2 linked regions of the Saccharomyces cerevisiae S288C genome follow. The protein of the gene in region 1 interacts with the protein of each later gene in a biochemical or structural test. Each region holds a gene or a part of one and is shown in the gene's direction. Other genes may lie near its edges. The genes, in order: SAS4 and SAS5.

Region 1 (3,933 bases):
ACTTCATCCTACTTTCGTGTTTTTTAAACTCTAAAAATTACACTACTATGATCACTATATTGCTATGGAATAATAAAAAGCAAAAACGAAAGATTGAAAGGAAAGTCGTCCTTTTGTATCCATCTTTTAAACAAAGCTTACAAAGAAATTTGCCGTCATGACTTGCTAAATTTGATATAAAACTAAAGGAACCAACAACTTACCTAGGTGTTCTTTTTTGTCCCCGTATAGTGAAGTAATTGGTGTTACGCCCAGTCCTGCAGTTTTAGCTTGGACCACAAAACATAATGCAAATCCAGTAGAGGTTATGCAAACTGTTTGGTGAGCATAGTAATACCACACCCGGTATAATTTATATCTCTTGTTCATTGTCTGTATATAAGGTGTATTCGCATATATTAAATAGCCAGACGTTTCCCTTCAAAGCATTTTGATCCTGGAAGAGAATAGCAGTAATTCTGTCTAGACTACAGTATAAAAATAAATAAAAATGGGCATCACAGAAACAAAAAGGACAATTGCATTAACTAGAAATTGTTTGATCGAACGCGTATCATTCACAGCGTATTTACTATGTGTCAATGATTTTTTGGATTTCGATTTGGAAATACTTGTAGGTAATGGCAAATCTGAGGTGTTACCATCAGGTCGTGTAAATACTCTGTTCATTATGGTTGCTACGCGATTATTAAAAGATTTTGGGAAAAAATGCATGTATGCGATAAAGGCAGCAGAGAATAATAATCCCCATAGGTACATTCTGATTGCCTTATAGGGATCTGGCATATAGCATAGCTCTGTTTGGTAAGTTTTTGATGCATACTCTCCGCCGGCATTTACCATTGTCAAATCTGAAGGATTATATAAGGAGAGCAATTGAATAGCAGGCCTACTGATCCCCATGTTCATTGCACATGACTTTACTGTAATTTCTTGAGCATTTTTAGTTTTCCCCTGAAACGGATATGAGTGTGATATCTGACAATGGTCATGATCATCCCCGGAAAATAATATTTCTGGTTGAATTTTCGTTAAAATTTCTTGTGATATATCGTTTTCTATAACTGTCTGGTACTGGTGCCCTTTCTGAATAGGAAAAGGTTCTTTGGATTCACGTAGCTGACCGCACGTTTGCTGTTCTGGATCCCTCCATAATGGAACGTGAGTTAAAAGAATTCTAGGAAGCGGATGTGAACCCATTGCAAAATTATCCAAAAACTGTCTAGGAACCCTCGAGACATTCGGATTTGTTTTATCAGAAAGCGAAATTGTATCTAAAAGTACAAAGGTATGATTTCCAGCGTCTAATGAGGAGGAAGTTTCTCCAAAGTAACTAGAAAATCTCTGTAAACTCGATTCAACAACTGTGTCTCCAAAACCAATATCGTGATTACCTGGTAAAGACATGACCGTTCTTCTCAGTGGCTTCTTGGGGAATATTTGGTTGAATCGTGTGTACTCTTTAATCCATTGCTTATCATCCCAGTTTCTCCCTCCATCAAATAGATCACCTAGGAAAAAATTGCTATCAGGATCCAAGTAATACTGGACATATTTCCAATTTCTCCTGTGATAATGGTCAACAATCACTCTTGTAAAATAATTAACTATTTGAGGCCTCCCAGGATATGAATATTCGTCCATTATTTGTGGGTCTGCAAATAAACCCACCCTATGACTTTCAGCGCCTTCAGGCCAATCCTCCCAAGTCGACCATTGGCACTTCTTCATTGCTCTCTTCACAACCACTGATTCATAATAAGATATTAATCCTAACCATAAGATCCATACAATAGATATGTATCTCCAGTAGATTCTTAACCTCTTCTTGCTCCTGCTTTTTGATTTCTTTTTCGAACGTGATTTATAGTGGGCCTTATCGTCGCTCTTCTTGCTGTGTGTAGATAAAACGCTCTTTGACCTGTTACGATATACCATACTTCCTAGAGCTTATTGTCTAATGTATCCAACAGATTAGTAGAAGCGGTACTGTTTTCCCTTTCTTTTTGGTTATTGTTGTTTCCATAATCGTTCGTTCTACATTTTTAAAAATAAGAAAATCTAACCCGCGAGTTGATTTCAGCGATCTCAAAACAAAAAGTAGCAAGATTAAAAAGGAAAACCGAAAATTTCTACAGCATTAAAAGCATATGAGAGTTCATCAATGGGTATTTTTCAATCAATAGAAGAAGCAAATAATACTTCTGAGAGATTGCTGAGGTCTGAGATTAAAAATAGTCATGGAGAATTTGAAAAATTCGATTTTGATACAGAAGAATACGAAATTAACCCTAAAAGGAAGTTAAGATTAGTCAGCAGGATAAACCCAAATGCTGGACATCTAAGGAAATCTAAGTCCTGCTTTACTGTAGATGAGCATGTTGACGAAACGCGTTGTCAGAAACCTGTGATGAAGTCGCCGTTCATGAGTAATGTCGATGATGAGATCAAGAAAAAGAGAGAGACAATTACAAAGATGACACTAGAAATTGAACATCATGAATTGAGCCAGAATATTAGAAAACCAACTGATGATTTGCTTCCTGATAGCACGTATCAGCCTTACCACAAGAAAATGTTGAAGCAAGAAAATAGAATGATTCAATCGGACATCGTAAATGGTGAAAATGAAGCAGACAGGCTTTCATTAATTTCAGACAGACTGGGTATGTTGAATTGGGAAGTAACATTACAGAAGGTTACTAAAATAAATGACCCCACTGACGAGAATGAAATGGAGACTAAACGTTACCAAACTAAAGAGCTGATTGATTCAATGTTACATAAATTTGAATCTATGAAAAAAAAAAGCCGCAATTTAGCTAGAAGGCCAGCCTCAAGTGATTCATTGTTGAAATTGGTTAGTGGCAAAGATTGGCCCAAGATATATACTCGAATCGATCGAACTTTTATTCCAGATTACGCAAGCTCCTCTGACGAAGAAGAAGAAAAAATAACCGTTGAGGAAATAAGGGAGAGACGCCTAAAGAAGAGAGAGCAGCAATGCGGTGGTTCCATTATAGTACTGCTGAGCGATCATCAATCACAAAAGGGAATGACACGGTTTGCTATCGTAGCTGAGCCGCTCCGAAAACCGTATTTGATTAAAACCTCCACTAAAGAGAGAAATTCATGGAAAAACAAAGTTCCCACAAATCCAAAAAAATTCAAGAAAGCTCCTCGAATATCAACGCAAATTGCTGTGAAAAGAAGAAGGGAAGTCATCCCGTTAACGATGGAGGTGGAACCAGAAGTCATTCGGGATATAAGGCAAGATACACAAAAGTCTATGAAACTGAATGTTAAAGCGGAGGAAATATCTGTGACAGAGACTGTCAAATCAAAAGAAATGAATGCCTTAAGGAACAATGCTGCATCTATAAGTCCAACTCTTTCAGAGAAGGCACCTTTAGGTTCAATTTCATCTTGCACTGCATCTCAGATTTCACAAAGGTCTTCTGAGAATGTGGGTGCTATTATTAACAATATCAACCCAAACTTAGCAATAGTGCCCTCTTGTAACGAAAAGACCTTTGTAAAAACACACAATGGAATGAAAACTAACTCAGGTATTAATATTTTGCCTGTCCGCAAGAAAAAAAAGGTTTAGTTTGAACTAATATAATGCGATGGTGTAAATGAAATTCAATATTTCATAGTTGCTTCTCAAAACCTGCGTGAAAAATCAGCATGGAAAATGCAAAATGATTATTAATACTATGTATATTTTAAGTGCAATATATTTACGTATCCTTCACGTGTTTTCTAAAATATGTAAGAAGCTTGCCATTTGATGAATACTGTTCAATATTCTCCAACTGTGCGGAAAACTTACTGATATCCGGCTTCTTTGCAGGGAGTTGTTTGTTCTTCAATTCTGATTCTTCTACAATATCTAATAAAAGCACATCATCCCTTAACCCGTATAAGTGC
Region 2 (3,580 bases), on another chromosome or scaffold:
TGTTCAGACAATCAATTAGGCCACTTGTTTCAAATAGACTAACCTTCATTCGTTATAACAGTTCTCCAGCCTACACGGCTGCAGTCAGCCTATTGAAAGGAGATTTGAAAAAGGCTATGATTGCCAAGGATGAGATGAAGAAGACAGCAATCAGAAATATGTTATCTGCCATAAAAAACAAAGAAATTGCTTTAAAAGGGAAGAGCGCTGATGAGTACTCCCTGTACGACATGTACTCCAAGTTAATATCTCAAAGAAAGGACTCGATCAATGAGTTCCTTGCTAACAAGAGGGACGATCTGGTGGCCAAAGAGCAAGGTGAAATGGACATTATAAAGAAATATATGGACCAATTGCCAGTGTCTTCAGAGCTTGATATTGATCAAAATGTGAAGAAATTACTGGACGCCCTCAAAACAAAGGCAGGTGAAAAAAAAGTTCAAATTAAGGAAATCATGGGAGAAATCGACTGGAAGTCATTGCCAACAGAATGGAAGACATCTCCAACTGCCATCAAAAATAGCATTGTTAAGCAATTCAAGGAAATTTTCAAATGAGGTCCTTGTTTTCTGCGCGATGAATCACAGCCCAACCTTCAATAGTAAAAAAGAAGTAAAAATATTCGTCAAAAATTATGAAAGATACTTTGTTAATACATATCACAGTTACATATTAAAATAAAAAATTAATGCTCGCTTCCTTTCACCTTTTTTTTTTTTTTTGTGGCTACGTTTTTGTGTCCCATGGCAACCATGATATGTCTTGCTAACTGTCATTTGCCCTTTGTTTATAAAAGAGGCCGCTTTTGTATAATGTATAAATTATTCTTTTCCTGAAAGTATTTGTAGTTATCCAAGACAAAAAACCAGCAGCTAACATTGCTACACATAACTAAAGAACAACACCAAGCCAGTAACTAGCACGAAAGGAAGGAAAGTAAAGTTTTGTATCCCATTCTCTTTTTTGATCCTTATTGAAATGTTAGGATTATATCTATCCTCCCTTTTCTTCGCCTTTTTTATGGCACAAGTGTTTGCTACCAAATACTCAATTACTTTTACATCAGATGAGTATGAAGAAGATGAAACAGGACAAAATGAACCTGGTCCTTTAGTTTTCCATTTGGATAAAAACTCATTACCACCAGCTCTGCTAAATCAAATGGAGTTTAATCCATACTTAGTATTAGCAGATTTACCGGAGGAGCCGCGAGCTGTTGATTCTCAAGAACATACCGATACGGTCCTTGCTTCCAAATCTGTTATAGATTTTCTGTTGGAAGATCCTCTAACAATAGTGGAGCACAAAAAGTTTTCTCAAATTGAAAGTATTCTACATGAAATTATGGAAGACAGCATACAGAAGAAAGTCGGGGCAGACGAGGTATTTGAAGAGATTCCGAAACCGAAAATTTACGCGTATGAAGATATTTTAGTAACTAATATGAGCATCATCAATAATAGTGAAATGCCGACAAGTACTGCAACATTAACGAGCACCATTTCTTATTTATCTAGTACGACAAGTTTAGCTTTATCCACGGGTGTTACCAGCGTTGAGATTTTCCCAACAATCACCCCGGGAAATATTACAACTATTGGGGGATACGAAAATTCATCATCCTCCTTAATGCCGTCGATGGGAATCTTATCTTTTCTATTTGGTCTGTACTTGTTACTTCACCCTTAAAGTTCGGCAGTCATATAATCAAAGTTTTGATAGAGAAAGCATTTATATAACATATAAGCAAATGACCAATTAATGGTATTATTTAGTGACGTTTACAGCTGGCGCGGTCGCGTTACACGGGCAAGAAAAAATCAAAGCCACATCAATAAGTCATCACCATTAGAGAGTTGCACGACAACAAACTAGAACAGCCATGTTCGGGTGAAGAGGAAGTGCAGCAACTCAAGTTTTTCTACAGACTAAATTGTTTTTACTCTTGACTCCAAAAGCCCTTTTTTTTTTTTTTGGTGCCATATAATAGACGCTCTTTTATGGATCATTCAATAGAAGTCACTTTCAGAGTAAAAACACAACAGGTTATAATACCGGAACAAAACATCCGGGGAAATGAACTTCCCTTACGTCGGTGGCAGATGGAACTCCTCATGTTAGATGCAACAGGAAAGGAAGTGGAGCCTACCATCCTCTCTAAATGCATCTACCATTTGCACTCTAGCTTCAAACAGCCCAAAAGACGACTGAACTCGCTGCCATTTTTTATCAAGGAAACCGGTTGGGGAGAGTTTAACTTAAAAATAGAATGCTTTTTTATAGGTAACGCTGGAAAGTTTAGCATTGAACATGACTTAACGTTTGAAGATGATGCATATGCAGTTGACTATACCGTTGATGTGCCTCATGAATTCTCACATCTCAATAGTGAACTATCTAAATATTTTGATCTCCCGTGGAAAGTAGTGTCTCCGGAGGAAGAAATGTCTCTTCGTATAGCCGATTTGCCCTGGATTAAAAGCCTTGCGCTTATAGATGAGGATATGATGACGGACGTGGTTCAGATGATATTGAATGATCCTGCAGTACAGAGAGCAATTGAAAATCATCCCAGAAGGGAGCAGTTTTTTATGTTTATAACACAACTACCAGATGATTTGTTAATGAAAATTCAGGCATTTTTGAAATTACCGAACAAAAATTCCACTAAACAAGAAAGGACAAATTTTGGGTCAGACGCAATACATAAGGACGAGCCAGTGAAGGCTCATAACAAGCTAAAGTAGGGACAGCCATCATGAAATTAAACAATGCCTGAAAACATAGATGATTCTAGCAAGTTGGTCAAATAAGTCAGTGAATAATACTGTTTCCAAAACGATTGAAAAGAATTTTTGAGTGCATGACACTTTTGTTCGTTTTTGTTTCGTTTATCCAAAGAGAAAAAGGAAGCAAATGACAATGCTTTGAATTTTCATTGTTGAATGTTTTGACTTACTTTATTAAAGGACGTTTTTGCGCTTCCACAGAACTAATGTTACTGTTGTTATTCTATGTAAATATGGGATGGGTGTAGGTATGTATATTTATATAATAGCATCCATTGATAATTACTGCTCACAGTATTTCCAATTCGAAGCTATTGATAACCTGGAGACCATATTTTCATGGTTGAGTCCCATGAACCTGTACATACAGCTAACCCATCTGGACTCGAGCGCACACCAGTGACTCTGCCACCATGACCTTCTAATTTTCCAACAATCTCTCCTTTTAATACATCCCACACAACACAACCAATGTCTGTATAGCATGAGTACATCAATCTTCCAGATGCACTAAAATCTAAAGAAACAACGCCTTGGTTGTCTAGATAGCTTGAGCTTGTTGATTTTAAAGTTTGTGGCGATTGCGCGGTATTGTACTCCATGTTAGCTGCCATATAAGTAGGGGTAGGGGTACGTTCTTCATAACCTCGAAAAAGAGAAAAAGTAGCAATAGAACAGTCCGACCTTAAATCATACATATTTATCGCACCATTGTCACTTCCTGCAACAATCGACATCCCGTCTTTGAAAAAACGAAGTGCATTAATATCACTATCGTTAACGTAAAAGCT

Evidence for each region.
Region 2: the proteins of SAS4 (region 1) and SAS5 form a complex in vitro, tested with the Saccharomyces cerevisiae proteins (2 studies listed by BioGRID).

What each region holds. Positions count from the first base shown.
Region 1 is NC_001136.10:825,587-829,519, reverse strand, and holds SAS4 (Sas4p), read left to right. Parts: upstream 1-2,164; coding exon 2,165-3,610; downstream 3,611-3,933. Other genes in the region: YDR182W-A (uncharacterized protein), read right to left, coding at 166-369; putative lipid phosphatase CDC1, read right to left, coding at 463-1,938; cohesin-loading factor complex subunit SCC2, read right to left, coding at 3,744-3,933.
Region 2 is NC_001147.6:743,702-747,281, reverse strand, and holds SAS5 (Sas5p), read left to right. Parts: upstream 1-2,000; coding exon 2,001-2,747; downstream 2,748-3,580. Other genes in the region: AIM41 (Aim41p), read left to right, coding at 1-557; SPR2 (Spr2p), read left to right, coding at 979-1,689; STE4 (G protein subunit beta), read right to left, coding at 3,101-3,580. UniProt on the Saccharomyces cerevisiae protein: Component of the SAS complex, a multiprotein complex that acetylates 'Lys-16' of histone H4 and 'Lys-14' of histone H3. The SAS complex is however unable to acetylate nucleosomal histones.